4 linked regions of the Arabidopsis thaliana genome follow. The protein of the gene in region 4 binds, or shares a complex with, the protein of the main gene of each other region. Each region holds a gene or a part of one and is shown on either strand. Other genes may lie near its edges. The genes, in order: RANGAP2, WIT1, RANGAP1 and WIP3.

Region 1 (4,925 bases), on a different chromosome or scaffold from region 4:
CTCATAGGGAGGAGAAGAGGATCAAGAAGATGACCACCACCATGAAAATAATGTCTTTTGCTATGCTACTTGTTCTTTTGTTCTCTATTGGTTAGTCTCTCACCATAAATTTTGATATTTTTGGGGATACAAAGATGTATTATATAAAAAGTTTTTGTTTGATCTTTACGTGAATCTTAAAGATGAAAAATTGTTGTTTGCATGTTATAGATGTCGTTGAAGGATCCGGAAGTTCGTTGTGCTGTAACACACATGCGAAATTTGGAGCTTGCAACACATACCAAGACAGAAAGAGATGCAACAAATGGTGTCTTGATGGATGTGATAATAAGAAAGGCGGTTTTTGCAAACGTTTTGCTGGTGGAGCAAAAAAATGCCATTGTTACTGTTAAAAAAAATATGTTTTTATGCTTGCGTTTGCAATCCTCGATTGCTTATTCTAACTAGTATTAAACTCAAAATCTTGTCTTCACTGTTGATTATATCTTTAGTATGTGAAATGGTCACTCCTGAAAACTTCTTTCACGTTAGTTTAAACTTTTCAAGTTAACAAAATTTGTTTAAAATCGTATCTAAACCAAAACGGTACCAAACCAAATAGAATATAAAATTGTTTTGCTCATAGGTATGACCTCAGAATAGCGATACAATCGTGTTTAAACAAAAAGGACCAATAAGCTATCGGCAAAAATAAAACTAACACCAATGTCTCAAATATGTTTTGGTCTTTGTAGCAGCAGCTAGAGTAATAATACTGGTACAAAACAAACAAAAACATTGAAAAGTACCAACATCACAGACTTAATCTTCCTGATTAACTTCAAGGTTCTTCAGCTTCGATTCCAGCTCACCATTCCCATTACCTTCGTTCTCTTCATCTTCTTCGTCTTCCTCATCATCATCATCTTCTTCTCCATCAGGATCATTCTCATCCAAAGCTCCAAGTAACTCTGGGGATTTCTTGAATATCTCTTTCAATTCTTCAATGCCTTCTTCTGATATGATGTTCCCGTCAATGTTCAACAGCTTGAAAGCTTCTTTCTTCACAACAACATGAGCCAAGGCTCGTGCTCCGGCTCTTCTTATGTAGTTGGTGCTCATATCGATGTATTGCAGTTTTGAGTGACCCTCTTCTATACAATTTGCAATCTGGACACATCCCTCATCTTTCAGCTCATTCTCAGACAAATTCAACTTGTTCAGATCTTGTTTTGCTGCAACACAGGCTGCGATAGCTGAAGCAGCTTCAACTGTTATGTCATTTCCTGCCATCTCTAGAACTTCAATGGGCGAAGCAGACTCCTTTAGAGCGTTTACTATGGCTATGGCACCTTCATCCTCTAGATTTAGATAACTCAAGTAAAGCTCAGTCATGTGTTTGAAGCTTGAAAGAGTTTTGCTCAAAGAAACTCCGGCTTCTGTGCCAAACATATTATCCCGCAGATCAAGTTTCTCCATATGAGTACAATGCTCAAGTGCTTCTGACAAGGCGATTCCCCCTTTTGAGCCGACTCTTGTGGAAGAACAACGGAAATTCTCCAGCAGTGGGGAACGCTTGACAACCTCTGCAATAGCGAGTGCCCCTTCATCTCCCGTCATGTTATTATGAAAATGAAGGACCCTCAAATTCTCTGTTGAAGGAATCAACTCGGAGACCGCTTGCGCAGCTTCCTTAGAGATACCATCATTCATCAAATACAGCTCTTCCAAAGAGCTCAGAGATTTTAAGAGTGCCCCAAACGCTCTAACACCCTTCTCACCCAATGCATTATCTGATAAGTTGAGAGACGAGAGAATACTACCTTGCAGTGCGTCAGAAAATATATTCATAACCTCAAGAGCTTCAAGCTCAGGTCGTCCAGCAACAAAGTCAGACAAGTCAACTTCCTTAAGCTGATCTTTCAAAGACGCCAAGATAGGCTCAGCGACACGAGCAGCTCCCAAGCCAAAACTCCTATTACTAAAGCATATCTTAGTGTAGGCATTGCCAGGTTCCTTCAAAGGTTTGAGAAGCTCCTCAGCTTCCTCAGCCTCAATGAAAGCCCGTTTACCTTTAGAAATATCGAAAAAAGTTTCGCGGGGAGACACAGAATCCTCAGAAATCAATTCTCTTGCCGCAACTTTAGCAACAGGTCCTTTCTTGAGAACTTCTAAGATAAGCTTACTGCATTCTTTGGCATAAAGCTGTACAGCTGAACCACCATCACCATCAGGCTCCCTCTCAAACTGTTGGTTAGCAGTGGAAAAAGCAATATCTTCGATCCTCTTAGCGTTCTCCGTAGCCTGGTCTTTGGTTAAGCTACCGTACTTCTCAGTGAAAATAGTCTTGGAAGAAAAATTGTTGGTTATACGCTCAATGAGAGCTTTTCTTGTAGGTAAACTCGGTGGCCAGAGTTTAATCGAAAATGCATGAGGTCGAGAATCAAGTATATCAGCCATTATCGCAAATCCAGAGTTTTAATATCACTGCAAAAACATACACACAAAAGTTAGAAATAATCAGAGGAGGCTCTATCGTAATCACTAATCACTTAGGAGGATTAACATTGAGCCCAAAGGAATAACTAATTGATAAATCAGAAAATGCTGTGACTAAATCAATAACAGAGATTAAGGAGAGTAATCTCGTAAAGATCGGAGATCCTATAAGTGGATAGTTTCGAGAAGAAGCATTAAATCACCAACTACGAGGAAGGAACATCGGTGCTTAATCACAGGGTAAAATCGGATCAGACAAATAATTATCCGTTTGCGATGAGAATAAACGGAAATGAAAAGCGTACCGGACCGATGAAGATTGTCTGAATCTCGGAGCTCTGAGACTCTCTCTGGCTGCAAAATCGAGTGTGTTTTTAGGGTTTCTCCTTCACCGGAGCTCTTTAAAACTCCCTCCTACGTTCGTTGAACCAAAAGTCTCTATAGACTAATTTAAAAAAAAAAAAAAAGAGAAAGGTTAATAATTCATCGTGACTTGAGTAATTAATCACTTTGGAAGAAAACGTAATTAATTAGAACCAACCTGGTAATTTTGAATCTTTCATGTTAAAGAAAACTCCTTTATGTGTAATGTAATTTTCAGTGGCTTGTGCTACAAAATACTTACAAGTTACAGTCTCTAATCATCAGTAATACTTTCGATTGATTCTTTATTTGTAAAACAAAAATGGGATATTATGTTCTGTGTTGAATCATCTCTTAATTATTCAGACATGAACTCACTGGTCACCACTACCAATATCAAATCGTTACAGCTACGCTTAGTCACAACCTACCCAAAGTATCTTTTCTCAACAGAGAGGATAGTTGGAGAGTGGATTTTGAATTGAATAGTGGAAGTTATACCACAATGGTATTTTTGGATACAAAGGGTAGCGATTTCATTCAAGACCGATTGTGATCAGAGGAGATTAATTAATACAATACAAAATGACCAAAACGAACCAAAAAGCACAGCAAATAACTAAGACAACCCAGTACAGGACGATAAAGACCTCTAATGGCGGCTCTTGATCTCTCTCTCTCTTTCTCTCTATATAATTCCTTGTCTACTTACCTCTAGTTAAGTGCAGTCTTCTTCTTCCGCATTCTACAACCTCAAGCTTTGCAGGTTTGTAGTAGACTTTGTTAGGGCTCTACAAAAGTACTCTCTTATCTCTGGTATTGTTCTCTGCACCAGCTCGTTCTGCCTGCATTTTCCATTCACTTTTGTTTCAGACTAATAGCAATAAAACAAATCTTAGTGGAGAGAGAGAGTGACATCTTGTTTATATTACCAAGGCATTGAACTCAGTTTATCGAAATGCTCCAGGATGAACATGATACAAGCTTGCCTCAGCGACATCGCATGGAATGCTTCTGATAGCTCGTACATGTCTCCTATACTTTCCAACGTAATATCCTTTCATATTCAAAGTAACCGTGTCAGATTTCGTTAAGTACTACGCAAACCACATCATCACTTTACATTGTGATATAATTCTGGCTCACCTGAGCAATTGTGTATTCACAGAGTCGTTTCAGGCCCTCCAAGAGATACTGATCCGCTGCTCTTAGAAGATCTTTTGATATCTCATTTGTTATGTCGACAGATCCAGTGTATATAAACCTGAAAATCATAATCCAAGGGAGTCAATTACGTGTATATGAAAAGTTCTCACAGACTTTTCGAAATTTCAATATCTCGAGTGAGTCAATCAAAAGCATGCAGAGGTTCATTCATCATACCTCATCATTAACTCAAACACCTCCCATTTGATATTTGGAATCTCAATATCTCTAGCGTCTTTTTCCTGTGATATAAACGAAACACAAACCGTGACACAATTCAGGTCTAATTTCCCCAAAAGATAATTGTATTCCTTTGATAAATAGCAGACCAGCATACATCCATACGTCATTGTCATCAAAATATCATTTACCCCACAAGAACATTATCGAAAAACCAAAATATTTAGTTCACTTACTCTGTAACCACCATCAAACATTGCACGAAATGCATCTGAGGATGCCAGCAGACAAATTCTGTGTGCATAGAATGTCCTTCCTGCAGTATGATTTTTCTGTTTTACATATGGACTTTGAAGCTAACTAGAGTTCCACAACTTCTGGATTTATATATGATTACCTTCGACTAGAAAGGTTACATCAGACAGCGTAGCATTATTTACATATTGCTCTCCGAGATAAACCTGTCACAAAAAGACATACAGAATACTGCATTGAGACTTCCACCCGTTACCTATAGGAGAACTGAAGCAGAAAGGAAACTCACCCTTTGTGTTGGAGAAGGAGGAGCAGCATCAACTGGAGAAAGTGCCATAGATTTATTTGCTAATTTGTACAACGCTGCTGCACCGTCAAGTTGCTGCTTAGTGTTTAAAGAACCAAGAAGACCGAGTAGCAACTCCAACCCTGTCAAAAGACAA
Region 2 (5,863 bases), on a different chromosome or scaffold from region 4:
GGAATGTATGAATGGGCAGCCAAAGTCGATGAGTATGCTCGCGGTATGGTTGGACCAACAGGATCAACTCTCTTTGAAGAACTTGGTTTGTACTACATTGGTCCTGTTGATGGACACAACATTGAAGATCTAGTTTGTGTTCTCCGAGAAGTATCTTCTCTAGATTCAATGGGTCCTGTGTTGGTCCACGTGATCACAGAGGGAAACCGAGATGCAGAAACCGTAAAGAACATCATGGTCAAAGGTATATCTGTCTGGTTATGTTATTTTTTCTGAGAATATATGCTTATCCAAAATCTTGACTTTGTAGTTTTTTTTTTTGTCTCAGACAGACGCACTTACAGTGATTGCTTTGTTGAGGCTTTGGTGATGGAGGCAGAAAAGGATAGAGATATTGTTGTAGTTCATGCAGGAATGGAGATGGATCCGTCACTTCTTACATTTCAGGAGAGATTTCCAGACAGATTTTTCAATGTCGGAATGGCTGAACAGCATGCTGTCACATTCTCTGCTGGTCTTTCTTCTGGAGGTCTCAAGCCATTTTGTATTATTCCCTCTGCTTTTTTACAAAGAGCTTATGACCAGGTTTCACTTTCCTCTAGCACAAAATAAAATTGTTCTAAAAGGTTTTTATTACAAGCAAATGGCCTTAGTGTCTTTGATGGTTTCTTTAGGTGGTCCATGATGTAGATCGGCAGAGAAAGGCGGTGCGATTTGTTATTACAAGCGCAGGGCTTGTTGGATCCGATGGTCCAGTGCAGTGTGGAGCTTTTGACATAGCTTTCATGTCATCCTTACCAAACATGATAGCCATGGCTCCAGCCGATGAGGATGAGCTTGTAAATATGGTTGCAACTGCTGCTTATGTCACTGACCGCCCAGTATGTTTCCGGTTCCCTAGAGGCTCCATCGTCAACATGAATTATCTTGTCCCCACTGGATTACCAATTGAAGTAAGTTCCAATCTAATCTTCAAATCTTTTGGTTGCAAAAACAGACCGTGGTGACACAAGAACTGCTTTATCATATTAGAGTAGATCGGAAGAGGAAGAGTTCTCGTAGAAGGTCAAGATGTGGCTTTACTTGGTTATGGAGCGATGGTTCAGAATTGTCTTCATGCTCACTCGCTTCTCTCGAAACTCGGTTTGAACGTGACTGTAGCTGATGCAAGATTTTGCAAACCCCTAGACATCAAGCTTGTGCGTGATCTTTGTCAGAACCACAAATTCCTTATCACTGTCGAAGAAGGCTGTGTTGGAGGGTTTGGTTCTCATGTGGCGCAGTTCATAGCCCTCGATGGCCAGCTCGATGGGAATATCAAGGTAGAGAGACAAATCAAAACCTCATGTTCTCACCTGTTTTTGGTTTTAAGTTGTAATTTTGCTCTTAACATTGTGTAGTGGAGACCCATTGTGTTACCGGATGGCTACATAGAAGAAGCATCGCCTAGGGAGCAGCTTGCTCTTGCAGGGCTAACTGGACATCACATAGCAGCAACCGCTTTGAGTCTTTTGGGCCGAACTCGTGAAGCATTGCTTCTCATGAGCTAGCTTAACCTTCTCATATGGGATTTACCTTCACAAGAGACTTAAAGAGGAGTTTCTTAAACAGAATTTGTAGATAATACATTCTGAATTCAAGAGCCCATTTGATATCCTGATTTTGGAATAGCAATCTGCTATGTATTGTAAATGTAGAGTTGAGAATTGACTAAAATAAATTCAATTACTTTTTAGGCGGTATCTCAGTTTTCATATTCTCAGTTAGTTGTTGTTGTTGTTGTTGTTGTTGTTGTTGTTGTTGTTGTTGTTGTCAAGTCTATTTGGTGTAACAGTCGCATGTCCCAAATCTGGAAACAAACAAAATATAGAACAGAGACGTGTATTTTCGATACTCGAGTTTTTTTTTAATAAAAGCATCTTAAAAAATTAGTAAAGAGTTACTGTCAAACAATATTCGTTTAATTACAAATCCGAGTCCTTCTTCTTCTTCTTCTTCTCGATCTCTGTATCTCTCGATCATTTCCTTCTAAAGGAAGCGTCTTTGATCTTAATCGTCGTGTCGTTCGTTTCTAACTGTAAGTTTTCTCCTTTTCATTCATTTTGCTTCAATCTCGATCGGAATCAAGTAAAAAATCGGAACTTTTACCTAGATTTCCTCAGGAATCGAAAAGTTCTTGTGATTTAGCAGAACCTCTATTGTTTCCGATCTCTTAATTCAATTACTTGACAAAAGTGATTATACTTTCTCTGTTGCAGTTATATTGAAAGATGGAAACAGAAACGGAACATGATAGAACTGTCTCTGTCGATGACAACGACAGCCTTGTACCTGAGCCAAGCTCAACGAAAGAAAGCTTTTTTGAAGATCTCTCGCTTACTGGGCAAGTTATGAATCCTCAACTTTCAAGTGCAGGCGAAGTTTTGACAAAAGTTGAATTGGATTTTGCTTTTGTCTCTGAGAAATTGGTCAATCTTAGTCTTCTTACTATGCAACTCGGCACGAGGGAAAATGATTTTGAGTCTTTTGTTTCTAAGAAAGAAGAAGATGAAGAAGAGCCTTCGAGTAATGTTGATGATGATGATGATTCTGCTGAGAAGGCATTGGAGTTTGATCTCTTGTCTTCAATTCTCAATTCAGAGGTGAAAGAACTTGAATCGCTTCTTGGTTTTCTCCAGAACGAGATTCAAAGCGCCCGTGTCATGATATCTCCGTTTCAACATGATGGAGAAGCTTTCTTGGATTTGGAAGGGAAGTTGAATGATACTGAACAATCTTTGGGTCAGTTAATGGAACAAGTAGTGGAAATGAAGAAGCAATCTTCTAACTTTCAGAGGTTATCTTCTGGTTTGGATGAACAAGGAAGCTGTAAGTGACCAATCTAGCTTTCTTTTTAACCTTGTTGTGATGATCACTTGGTGAGAAAAATTTCAGGCTTTAATGAATACTATATAACTTTGTTTTTGCAGGGTCTGGAGGGCAAACTTCAGTGTCTCAAAACGATGGTGAGTTTGGTGATCTGAGCGCTAAGATCAATATGCAGACTGCTGATCAGCAAAGGAATGTTTTAAGGATGCTTGAGAAATCTTTGGCTAAGGAGATGGAACTTGAGAAGAAACTAAGTGAATCAAGAAATACTGAACGAGAACTAGAGATGAAACTGTATTCTTCTGAGCAGGATGTTGTCTACATGGAAGAAGTAACCGAAGATGCGTTCTCCAGGTGGCTTGAGGCAGATAATGCTGCTGAAGTCTTTAAGGGAACGTCAAAGGAGATGTCTGGAAAACTCCAGATTCTTCAGTTCAATCTAAGTGGCTCTTTTAAGCGGGAAGACAACTTGAAGTCTAAGCTTGTTGATTCAAAGGAACGTTTAGAAGCTAAGGAATGCGCCTTGCACAAGCTTGATAGCAGCAATGCAAGACTTGCTGACTTTCTTGTGGCACAAACAGAAGGCTTAAAAGAGAGTTTGCAAGAGGCTGAAGAAAAATTGATTTTGTTGAACACTGAGAATTCCACATTAAGTGAGAAAGTTAGCTCCCTTGAAGAACAACTGAATGAATATGGGATTCAAACAGAAGATGCGGATGCTACTTCTGGTGCTCTGATAACAGATCTTGAACGTATCAACGAGGAACTGAAAGATAAATTAGCCAAAACTGAAGCAAGGGCTGAGGAAACAGAATCCAAGTGCAAAATCCTAGAAGAAAGCAAAAAGGAGCTTCAAGACGAGTTGGGGAATTTCAGAGACAAGGGCTTCACTATACATAAGTTAGCATCGCTTGAGAAACACTTGAGGGACTCAGATCTACAACTAGAACATGCAGTTGCAGCTGTTGAAGCAAGTAAAGAAAAGCAGAACTTGTTATATTCTACTGTTTCTGATATGGAGGATGTGATCGAGGATCTAAAATCAAAAGTTTTGAAGGCTGAAAACAGGGCCGACATTACCGAAGAGAAGTTGATCATGGTATCTGAGTCTAACGCAGAGGTCAACGAAGAACTGAAATTCTTTAAGGGTAGATTGAAAGAAGGGGAGAAATATTTACAGCAAGCAGAAGAAAGAAAATTGCGAACCGCCAAAGATATCGGGGTACATAACAAGATCATGAAAAAACTGGTCATGCAACTAGCTGCTGAACGAGAACGACTTCATAAACAGGTATTACCATATTCGTAAAACCCCAGTTCGCTGTTAGTTCATGTCCTTGTAGCTTCATCATCATCACAGTGGATTCTTAGATATAGTGACTTATTTGCAGATAACTAACCTGTCAAGAGAGAATTGTGTGTTGATGGTGAAGTTGAAAAAGGTTGGAAAAACTGGTTATATGGAAAGTGGCAATGGAAGTGAAGTTTCACCAAAGTCGGACCAGAATGCTTCTTCTTGCCATCAAGGAAGTAGACTTCAAGCCACCTTCATTTCATTAACTAATCCAGAGGTAACATAATTCTACCTTACAAAAAATCTGATCTTTTGCTGGCATCTAAGTGAGTTATACCATTAAGCTTTAGTCCAACAATCGAATATTATGAATCTAAGCTTGACGTTAGTAACCGTGGTCACCTTTTTGTAGGAGGAAGAAACAGGTTCAAAATCAGATATTGGAAGTGTAAGGAGATTAGATGTTGGAGCTCTTAGGTTCAAACACATTCTCGTTGCAATACTCGTGATCTTAATATCGTCGATAGCTTATGTTATATCCCAGCAAAACATGTAAGAGTCTTTAACTTTTTCCAAAATCTCAGTCTCCAGTTTTGTACTCTCTTTGTCATAGTTTACAATGACAGATTATATTTTAGTTCTTTTTGGCTACCCAGTTACAGAAAATCTGCTATATAATTAACCCCGACACTGGTATTTTGTGTTATTACAATATCTTTTTCAGTGTCAAGTATTAGTACCTCTCTACACATTAGTCCTTAATCTCTGCAATATGATTAAGACCATCCAATACTTGTTGCATCAATGGCCGTTTCTTTGTATTATGCGCTGTGCATCGGTTGATGAGTGTGCCCATCTGTGTCGCCGCATTCGCAGAATAATCGCTCCCAAGTCGGGGATCGATTATTTCCTCAATCTTATAATTATCTGGCAAGAAAGATGAGGTCCAGTAATCTACTAAGCCTTGCTCTTCCTTAATCTTTTTTCTATCCTTGGAACCCATTAAAAGTTCAAGCAAGATCATACCAAAAATGTAAACATCGGTCGTCATATCCAAAATACCTAACACATACATTACACAATTGTCTTAACGTTGAACAACGAAAGATTTTTCAGAATTTGTAAAACGAAAGTTAATGCTTTCGTGTACCTAACGATCCCCATTCAGGAGATAGGTATGTAAATCTTCCCCTCTTGAGACCTTCATCTACCAAGCTTCGTTTGGTTGGTTCGAGATAGAACAGTTTTTGCATTGTATTGCTGATGAAATCCAAACTTAGATATTAATTTCTAAGATCATAAACAAAAAGAGAGAAGAAGGATGGAAATAAAACAATTACCACCTCGTCAAGCATAATGTTATGCATCCTGAGTTCTCGGTTTAGGGGGCTGTTCTTGATCGAGTGAAGAAACGCGAGACCTTGAGCTGTTCCAATGGCTATCTTAACCCGTATTTCCCATGGCAATGCCTCTTCTTCTTCTGTTGAGGGAAACGTAAAACTATAGGTAATGCAATAGTTGTCTATATCTTAGAATGGACCCATTAGCTAGAAAAGATCTTAACTTCCGAAAATGTGACTGTCCAAACTTCCTTTGTGCGAGTATTCAAATACCAAGAAGAATGGTTTGTTGTCTTCACAACAGTAACCCAAGAAATTGACCAAATTCTGATGAGACAACTGTCCAAGAGACCTCACTACT
Region 3 (5,116 bases), about 19 Mb from region 4:
TATTTACTACCGTTTCTGATATATATAATTAGCAATGGTGGATTTATGATTAGGAGTGCATTCCATCAAGGTTAATGCAAACGAAGGGACGATAGAAGTGAACACTGATATTAACCGGCAAAAGAGCCGAGCTTTTGTGGGAACCTGAACCAGAGTCTCCTGATGACATTTCTATGGCAACTCCGCTCGCCATGCCATCAACTTGCCGACGTCAGGTCCATGTCAGCACCTTTGACCAGACCGTACACCTACAGGACTTGCTTGACAAAAACGCTAGTGGGATCAAACACATGAAAGATTACCGACAAGAGGGTCATCAGTATAACGTTTAAGGAGTCACATGATGATCCCAGGGGCTACCACTCACGGGACTCACTATCTCCAATCGCACCACCGTCCTCTGACCCTAAGAATAGCAATGGCGGTGGTGGTTCAGGTGCTTGTGGTAATGTTGAGGCTCCTGCTACTGCTGCTTAACCACCGCCCAAGATTAACGATACTCCTTGTAATGGCAAAGCAGCAGAGCCTCCTGTCGCTAATGTGAAATGCAGCAGCAGATGGAATAGTTGCGGTTTGATGTAAAGTAGAGATCTATTTAGTAGTTTAACCAGTATCAAGGAAACTATATTATAGCAACTTCTTAAAGAATGAGTTGGTAGAAATTTTCAGATTTTCTACTACACACAATTGTCACAAACAATCAATCATGCAAAAGAATCATCACTACTAAAACACAAAATAATCCTATCTTACCCTTGCCGATCAGCGTGCTGTGGTTTGAGAGCAGAGTGAGTCGGGTGTCCTCTTCTGCCAAGTCTCTTTGTTGGCTCGGCATGCTTCTTTTATGGGCCACTCGATCTGGAAGCCGTCTCTGTTCTGCTTTTCTAACTGACAACAGTGTGTGTGAAACGTCTGAGGATCTACCTGAAGCTTGAAGTCAAGGGTAAACAACAACTCCATCTCCAATCTGTTTAACTCTCTCGTAGTCACACCTCCCACTCTTGCGTAGTATGCATTGTTGAAATACCTGCACAACACCAGAGATCAATGAATCTATGATTGAAGACTTATTTGCGTGTTGAATTTGATACCAGGTTTAGTGAGTAACATACCTATCATCGAAGACTTTAGCAGCTAACATGACAGTTGTAATGATAAGGCGGTGGACATTAAGGGGTTTGAGAAGGGCTCGGGTCTTATGGAGAAAGTGATCAATGTAGATATGCGCAATGACGAAGCAGGAGGGACTGCAGCAAGAGTACTTGAAAATGCGATCCAAGTAGTGTGCAATACTGATCTCAGGGGGAGATCTCCCGTCAAACACGGTAACAGAGTCTGGCGATCCAAGCAGAATCTTGTCATCATGATTGAGTAACAGAGATCTCTCCAGAGAAGAAGAGAGGCGTGAGAGAACAGTCGGTGGCTTTTTCAATCGTTTGCCCTCAATAATAAGTCCTAACCTGAGGTATACATCCGAATCAATGAAAGCTGGATCGGTTGCGAGAGAGTCCATTTCTCCAACGAATCTGCAATGAAGATGATGATGTGCATAAAAATGGTAACTTTGAATAGGGTTTTGAAATAGAAGACGTATGTAGAGTAAATTTCAAGCAGGTGAACTAATTCCTAATCAAGAACCTAAACCCTCTCTATATGTCTCCCTACCTACCAAGTACCAAGAATCTTGAGAGTCAAGAATTAGGAATAAAGTGGAAGAAGCTTACGAGAATAAAGTGGAAGAAGTTGGTTCGTGAACTAGAGAAGGTCCGGAGAATGGAAGAAAGCAGATCTATCTCCGGCGCTTCTCCATTGTTTTTTTTTTGCTGCTCTGAAGCTTAGAAGCTAAAAGAAGCCGCGAAGAATTGTGAAGAAGAAGGAAAGTTTCCATTATTGCCTTTTATTTTATTTTATTTAATAATTTAAGGGTTTTTGATTTTAAAATGAATAATAATAATAAATACAAAAAAGAAAGGACAGAAGGAAGGAGTGATGTGTGGTAGAGAGAGACAGTTCACCGTCGGCGAGTCCAGCTGGCGGTGGTGGGAGCCCACCGTGTCACCTTAATCATCGCTGCGCTGCCCTGTCTTTTTTCCATTATTAATTTTTAGCAAGAAGAAGACTGGGCTTTCTAAATTAGTTATTAATGGGCTTTGGGCTTTCGTGGTTAGGGTTGTGTAGGGGCTTAATCGTCATTTCGGAGATAGAATAAACCCTAATCTCCATGGATGGGCTCTCCGATGTTTGTCTTTTTGATTTTTGAAATTTGATTTTCAAAAATAAACTAAAGCATCATTGCCTCCCATTATCGTCACGCACGCAGATCAATGATTCTCTCACTCTGCTTCTCATTCACGCTTCTTCTTTGAATTCACTTTTCTATTCCTTTCTTTTTCTCCGTCCGAGAGAGTATAGAGAGACCCATTTCTTCGATCCATCCGCTGAGAAAAAAAAGGTACCGTCGTATTGTTCTCTCATGTTTCTGGGTTTCTTTTTGTTTCGAAATATATTCTTCTCGTTTGCAGTGTGATTTTGAGGGTTTCCTTGTCTAAAAAATGCAGTTTTTAATTAATGGATTTACAATAGAAATGTAGTTAGATTCTTCGACACCATCTTCGTTTTCGATTGGATCTACATGTTATGCTCTCTCTTTTTCCTTGGAATACTATGTCAGATTGAGTAATGGTTGTCCTTGTATTGAATTACAGAAGAAAACCAAGCAGTAGTAGAATGGATCATTCAGCGAAAACCACACAGAACCGTGTTTTGTCAGTGAAGATGTGGCCACCGAGTAAGAGTACCCGTCTCATGCTTGTTGAGCGGATGACCAAGAACATTACCACCCCTTCCATCTTCTCCAGGAAGTACGGTCTTTTGTCTGTTGAAGAGGCTGAGCAAGACGCCAAGCGCATTGAAGATTTGGCCTTTGCTACTGCCAACAAACACTTCCAGAACGAGCCTGATGGTGATGGCACTTCTGCTGTTCACGTCTATGCTAAAGAATCCAGCAAGCTCATGCTTGATGTCATCAAACGTGGTCCACAGGAAGAATCCGAGGTTGAGGTGAGCAAGGATGGTGATGTCTTTTTTGATATATCTGGTGGGAGCAGAGCTTTTATTGAAGAAGAGGAGGCACGCGACCTTTTGAGGCCTCTGGCTGACCCGCGTAACTCCTATACCAAAATCCGTTTTAGCAACAGGAGTTTTGGGTCTGAAGCAGCCAAATTTGCTGCGAGCGTTTTGTCTTCCATCAAGGATCAGCTGACGGAAGTGGATCTCTCGGATTTTGTTGCAGGAAGACCAGAGGCTGAAGCGCTTGAAGTCATGAATATGTTTTCATCTGCTTTAGAGGGTTCTAAGCTTAGGTATCTGAATCTCTCGGACAATGCTTTGGGAGAAAAGGGAATTAGGGCATTTGCTTCTCTCATCAATTCTCAGCATGACTTGGAGGAGCTCTATCTGATGAATGATGGCATTTCCGAGGATGCTGCACGTGCAGTTCGTGAGCTTCTCCCTTCTACTGACAAAATCAGGGTTCTTCAGTTTCATAACAACATGACAGGAGATGAAGGAGCAACTGCCATTGCAGAGATTGTCAGGGAGTGTCCATCTTTGGAAGATTTCCGGTGTTCATCTACAAGGATTGGTTCAGAAGGTGGTGTTGCACTAGCTGAAGCACTTGAACACTGTAGCCACTTGAAGAAACTTGATCTTCGTGACAACATGTTTGGAGTCGAAGGTGGAATTGCCCTGGCCAAGACTTTATCAGTCTTGACTCATTTAACCGAGATCTATATGAGTTACCTGAACTTGGAGGATGAGGGAACAGAGGCACTTTCTGAAGCTCTACTTAAGTCCGCCCCTTCTCTTGAAGTTCTAGAATTGGCTGGTAACGACATTACTGTAAAATCCACTGGAAATTTGGCAGCTTGCATCGCCTCCAAACAGTCTCTTGCAAAGCTGAATTTATCTGAGAATGAACTCAAAGACGAAGGGACTATCTTAATTGCAAAGGCAGTTGAAGGTCATGATCAGTTAGTTGAAGTTGACCTGAGCACCAACATGATCAGAAGAGCTGGGGCAAGGGCCTTGGCACAAACTGTTGTGAAGAAAAATACTTTCAAGCTTCTGAACATCAATGGAAACTTCATATCTGAGGAAGGTATTGACGAGGTAAATGACATGTTTAAGGACTGTCTGGACAAGCTTGTTCCTTTGGACGACAATGACCCTGAAGGAGAAGATTTTGAAGATGAAGACGAAGAGGAGGAAGGCGAAGATGGCAATGAATTGGAATCAAAGCTTGGAAGTCTGAAAATCAAGCAAGGGGAGGAATGATGTGATGCTTTTGTTGCTATGTAGGTAGGTTCAGTGTTATCTCTCTTTCTGGATTCGGTAAACATAGTTAAGTAGGTATCTAAGGATCTAAGATTGTCTTCAGATTTATTTCCTTGAAGCGAAATTGTTATCTTCGTGTAAACCAGAATTGTTGTTGGTCTTTTGGTTATGAATATTTAAATGATCTTTTAGCTGAAATCATGTTCATCTCATATGAGCCGTGGGAAATGAAAGAGCACAGTGTAGCATAAGAAGTTACAAATGAAGAACAAACTTTATGGCGTATTTGATCAAGCGGCCACTGGAGTTTTGAGGGCTTCGAGTATCTTATCGTCTAACTCAAACTTAATCTCTTTCTTGTCTCTGCCAATCTTCACATACTCTTCGAATCTCTCCTTGAGATCTTCAGGCAGATTCGTTTTACTCTCCCACCCTAATAAGTCCTTAGCGGCTCTTGGCTCTGCGTAGAAATGCTGCGACCATACAAAGACAAGTTTGTAAAGCTACTAATGAATGAAGTAGGAGAAGAGCTTCTACAGGGTTTCGTTTACCATGTTTCTGAATAGAAAAGCCTTCTTGGCGTCAACCCCAATGGCTTTAGGGTCATAATGAACGATCTCAACAGTTTTGCCAGCAGCGGCAGCACAGAGCTTGGCCATACCGTCAAGAGTAACGGCTCTGTCGCTAACGCAGTTGAAGATGTTGCCGGAAGCAGCCTCTGGGTTGGCAACGGCAGAAGTAAGCATGGAAGACAAGTCCCTCACGTGGGATATGTTGGTTA
Region 4 (4,497 bases):
TATTCATCGATACCTTTGGTGGTGATGGTGCACTTTTATAATCTCCGTAGATTATATTCATCGGTACCTTTGGTGGTAAAGGTGCATCGTGACCTTTACCTGAATCATCAGGTCCACTTTTATAACCTCCGTAGATTATATTCATCGGTACCTTTGATGGTAAAGGTGCATCGTGACCTTTACCTGAATCATCAGGTCCACTTTTATAACCTCCGTAGTTTATATTCATCAGTATCTTTGGTGGTAAAGGTGTATCGTGACCTTTACCTGAATCATCAGGTCCACTTTTATAACCTCCGTAATTTATATTCATCGGTATCTTTGGTGGTAAAGGTGCATCGTGACCTTTACCTGAATCATCAGGTCCACTTTTATAACTTCCGTAGATTATATTCACAGGAACCTTCATCGTTTTTATGAGCGGGTTAGTTTCTCCCATGACTGGTGGATTCAAACTTCTTGCATGGGCATAAGGTCCACGACACACAAAACAAGTGATAAGGGATATGAAAACTATTTTGGGAATCAAACAAGACATGGTGGGAGGCATCAACATTATTCGAGGTTTTTTTTAGGACTAGGAAATGGGGATGTGAAAATTGAAATTGGTAGAAAAAAAGAAGAAGAAGAAGTTGTCTTTTTTTTTGTTGATAGAAAATGATTGTTACAACTTACAATATATTAAAAATGTGAGTATTTGTATGTATATATAATAGATTATTGATTCACTCAAAACATATAATGTATTGTTATAATGTTTAATAATGATATGAATTATGTTAAAAAATAAATATTGTCTCAAACACAATATATCTAATCATAATTACTGTCTTAAACTATAGATGATATACAATAGTTACTTATGACAAAGTTTATCATTTTCAATTTTATTAGTACAAAATCAAATATTTTCATAGATATCAGTAAAAATACTATTTTGACAATTAACAATATTAAAATAAAATAAATTTTGTGGATATTGTAGATTCTAAAGTAAAATAACTATAATAAATTTTAAAATAAATGGTAATCACATTTTGTTACATGTTACTAAAATACTTAATTTATATTTAATGAATCAGTTTATCTGTCCATATTTTAAAATTTCACTAAAATTTTCAGAAATGTTTTGGAATTAGATTTCAGATTGTAAATAGTTTTCACTAACTTTTAATTATATAAATATATTAAATATTTACCCATTTCCTCAACAGAATGGAGATTTTACATTTATAAAACAATTCCATACTTCAAGAATTAGCATTTATTTATTTATTTTTTAAATCTGTTTTATACAAAAAATAGATAAAAAAATCATTTTAAGGAGTTGATTTTTTTAATGATTTGTAAATGTTCAAATCTGCATAAAACATTATTTTGATTTTTGAATATGATACCAAATAAATCTTTTAAATTTTAAAATAGAAAAATCACACTTTTCATTATTTTGAAAATATTTAAGTCTAGTTTTAATGGGCCTTATCAGGCCAACATGTTGGGCTCATATACACACTTTAATTCCGACATGTTGTGTACTCCAGATCGGACGGCCAGCTTGGCGCACTGGGTTTATGTCATGTGGGTCCCACGTATGATTCGCACCATCTTCATTATTTTTTCTCTTTCTTTATCTTTAATGTTTTTTTTTTCCTGTGTCTGTAGAATCATTTCGTCCACTTTAATCATTTTCGTTGATACAGCTTCTCCCGGTAATAATGTCGGCGGATTTCTCCGTCGCACTCTAAATTCTTTAGGATTTTGTTTCTCTTGCTCATCTGTAACTCAGGCAAGCTCTCGTTGGATTGTTTTAGGTACGCTTTAAATATTGATTCGAGTCGCTTCTCTCTGTTTTCATTAATTTTGTTTTTTCAAAAAATTTCTGGACTTGATTAGATGAGATTGTTGAATTGTGAATTGAGTTTTGTTCATTGTTGTTTCGGTAGATGAGGTTAGAATAACACTATACATCAGTTCTTTCTTTTGAAGTAGTGAGCTGAATCTAGTTCTTTAGCTGTTGGAAATTTTCAGATTTGTGTCTCTGATGACAGAGAATTTGATACCTTTTTTTTTGTTGTGAAATGGATTTAGGCATGAATGAGTCAGTCCCTGATTCTGTGGAAGACAACGGTAATTCAGTCCCTGCAAATGGATTATTAGTATTGCCTGATAATGATCATGAGGAAGGAGGTGTTGGATCACCTCAACGATCGAACAGCGTTGAATCTCCTGGTGGATCAGTACATTCTACGAGGAAAGGTTTTGGTTTGAAGAAATGGAGACGGATCAAAAGAGATGGTCCTGTGAGAGATGAGGCTGCTCCTGTTGATGATGGTAGTAAGTTACTGAAACGTGGATTGGCTGGTTTGGTGAATCCTCCTTCTAAACATGTAGAATTTTCTTCAGTTGAAGCAAGGCAGAGTAGTGAAGGCTCTGTTGGGTCAGTGAATATGGTGCATCATCCAGGGGTAGCCAACGGGTTTAGTCCCGATATAGGTTGTATGTTTGCTGTTGGGCAAGCGTTTGAGAAAAGTGAAGAGCATAGTGGTAATACCATAGGTGGAAAGAATGTAGTAGGAGGGAAGGTTGTTTCAGGTAGCCAAGAGAAACTCTGGAGTGATACCATCAAGAGGGCTAGCGAAGAGCGGGGGGATATCGAGAAGGAGAAGCCTTGTTCCAGCTTGGATTCCGACTTGAGAAGTAGTGATTTTGTGTTTTCGACTGGCTCGGTTTCTGTTGGTAACCATGGAGAGAAAGATGAGAGATTGACGATGAATTATATTGGGGGATTTAGCAATGAAGGTCAAGTTAAGGAGGAAGTTCAAACATATAGCAGAAGCGAAAACGGGAATAAAGAAGACGATGGAGAGAGTAAGAAAAACAACAATCATTGGGCAGATAAAGACGCACTTGCAGATTCTATCAGAAGCTTTGCAGTTCTGCAGGAAGTTCTTTGGAAAGGTTTGCACACGAACCTTGATTTTTGATATCCATGTGAATTGTTTCAATGTTCATGTCCTAAAGCTCCCATGTTTATATTATCAATGTTACATGATATTTCTAAACTAACTATGCGATTGAAACGTGTGCAGAGGTTCAAAGTTTCCAGGAGCTAGGTAAGGAATCTGTACTACTACATTCGAACACCGATGAATTGAGTTCAGACCAGCCAAGTCATCAAAATTGTAAAGAAGATAACTCAACATCCTCAGGATCAAAGGCACTGATCTTGAAGGAGAAGGTAAAACTTCTGGAACACAAACTCGAGGAAGCGAGAGCTGCTCTCGAGGCAAAGGAAGCTAGGATCCAAGAACTCGAAAACTCAAAGATTGAATCTGAACTTGAATGCATCTTCCAGAGAAAGATTGAAACTGAAATCGAACATTTGATGCTCACAAGATCTCTGAGTTCACTACAAGTACTCCAAGAAACTAAGAAGTTACATTCTCTGAAAGAAGATCCTGTATCAAACCGTGGAAACATCTTAGGAAAAACATGTAAGCTCGGTTTCTATATCTTGACACAATTGATCTTGCTCGTCTCTATACTTCGGTTTCTCGTCCTACAATTCTCTCCTGCTTCACGATTAGTAATACCAACTTGAAAAATTCCTTCTCCTTGTTGTGTTACCGAACATTTTTTTTGTTTCTCCAGATTGTAATAAATAAGGTCTCTCAAGGATATTGTCCCCATTGTTATAGTTAAATTACGATGTTTAAATTTCCCATCAACAACTAAAGAGACATTATTATTTTGTGAACTAGATTTTTGATATCGAATCCGATCACCGGTTATAATGGTTTGCCGACGGTTTTTGTGATTTGACTCAAGAGTGTAATAAAACCTTAACTTAAATCTTGGTTTTTGATTCAATCTAGATTCGGTTAATCAACCGGTCCGGTCTGGTTTTTAAAACAATAGGCCATTGTTGTAGGGAGTAGTTTAATCGGGGCAGAGGCTTATGCTATGGGCTTGGACTCTCAGGTTTCGTCTTAAACCTAATCAAAGTAATTTAAGCCGAAAACGGAAGGAACTAAAATTGGTGTCTTGACTAAAAATAATATAAAGGACATAAAATTAAAGTCCCCAGATAAAAGTTTGTATGATTTAGGGCAAAATCTCAGAAGATAAAATCATTCAAATTTGTGTGAATTTCGTTTAATCCTTATCCAATTTGTCCCAATTTATAATCTTATAAGAAAAATAAAAATCTGAAATACGGTGGTCTCAATTGCTCTTACCTTTACCAAGACGGCCATAAGAAAAAAAAGATGTCGACCGATATTTCACCACCCTACTCTCAAACTCACGTGGAGCCCGTTAATGGTTATCCTTCTGACAACAAGAGATGCGACGATTCCTCTGTTCCTGCCAAATATGATGATCTTGTCCGTAACTCTGCTCTCTTCTGGGAAAAGCTCCGAGCTTTCCTCGGATTAACCAGCAAGACTTTGAAGTCAGTTTCTTTCTTACCCTTTTCACATTTTTGTGAGACCTTTT

Evidence for each region.
Region 1: WIP3 (region 4) and RANGAP2 share a complex: the UniProt entries of both Arabidopsis thaliana proteins name them as parts of the ran complex.
Region 2: WIP3 (region 4) and WIT1 share a complex: the UniProt entries of both Arabidopsis thaliana proteins name them as parts of the ran complex.
Region 3: WIP3 (region 4) and RANGAP1 share a complex: the UniProt entries of both Arabidopsis thaliana proteins name them as parts of the ran complex.

The regions. Positions count from the first base shown.
Region 1 is NC_003076.8:6,504,509-6,509,433, forward strand, and holds RANGAP2 (RAN GTPase activating protein 2), read right to left. Parts: upstream 3,138-4,925; 5' UTR 3,020-3,137; intron 2,931-3,019; exon of another isoform or gene 2,924-2,930; 5' UTR 2,784-2,923; intron 2,467-2,783; 5' UTR 2,440-2,466; coding exon 802-2,439; 3' UTR 584-801; downstream 1-583. Other genes in the region: AT5G19315 (Defensin-like (DEFL) family protein), read left to right, coding at 30-90, 211-392; ARIA (ARM repeat protein interacting with ABF2), read right to left, coding at 3,587-3,686, 3,774-3,898, 3,988-4,105, 4,225-4,289, 4,464-4,543, 4,625-4,688, 4,772-4,911. UniProt on the Arabidopsis thaliana protein: GTPase activator for the nuclear Ras-related regulatory protein Ran, converting it to the putatively inactive GDP-bound state.
Region 2 is NC_003076.8:3,631,701-3,637,563, forward strand, and holds WIT1 (WPP domain-interacting protein 1), read left to right. Parts: upstream 1-1,948; 5' UTR 1,949-2,077; intron 2,078-2,258; 5' UTR 2,259-2,270; coding exon 2,271-2,868; intron 2,869-2,969; coding exon 2,970-4,159; intron 4,160-4,259; coding exon 4,260-4,439; intron 4,440-4,574; coding exon 4,575-4,718; 3' UTR 4,719-4,913; coding exon of another isoform or gene 4,914-5,224; 3' UTR 5,225-5,234; downstream 5,235-5,863. Other genes in the region: DXPS3 (1-deoxy-D-xylulose 5-phosphate synthase 3), read left to right, coding at 1-244, 329-585, 675-953, 1,038-1,322, 1,401-1,550; AT5G11400 (Protein kinase superfamily protein), read right to left, coding at 4,914-5,224, 5,313-5,422, 5,576-5,642, 5,727-5,863. UniProt on the Arabidopsis thaliana protein: Together with WIT2, required for the nuclear envelope docking of RANGAP proteins in root tips.
Region 3 is NC_003074.8:23,322,381-23,327,496, forward strand, and holds RANGAP1 (RAN GTPase activating protein 1), read left to right. Parts: upstream 1-2,098; 5' UTR 2,099-2,452; intron 2,453-2,705; 5' UTR 2,706-2,727; coding exon 2,728-4,335; 3' UTR 4,336-4,533; downstream 4,534-5,116. Other genes in the region: CYCP1;1 (cyclin p1;1), read right to left, coding at 763-1,027, 1,113-1,513; CSP41A (chloroplast stem-loop binding protein of 41 kDa), read right to left, coding at 4,626-4,808, 4,887-5,116. UniProt on the Arabidopsis thaliana protein: GTPase activator for the nuclear Ras-related regulatory protein Ran, converting it to the putatively inactive GDP-bound state. Plays a role in spatial signaling during cell division.
Region 4 is NC_003074.8:4,337,576-4,342,072, reverse strand, and holds WIP3 (WPP domain interacting protein 3), read left to right. Parts: upstream 1-1,626; 5' UTR 1,627-1,636; coding exon 1,637-1,811; intron 1,812-2,088; coding exon 2,089-2,958; intron 2,959-3,089; coding exon 3,090-3,601; 3' UTR 3,602-3,787; downstream 3,788-4,497. Other genes in the region: AT3G13370 (formin-like protein), read right to left, coding at 1-409; AT3G13350 (HMG (high mobility group) box protein with ARID/BRIGHT DNA-binding domain-containing protein), read left to right, coding at 4,269-4,453. UniProt on the Arabidopsis thaliana protein: Mediates and enhances the nuclear envelope docking of RANGAP proteins mediated by WIT1 and WIT2 in the undifferentiated cells of root tips.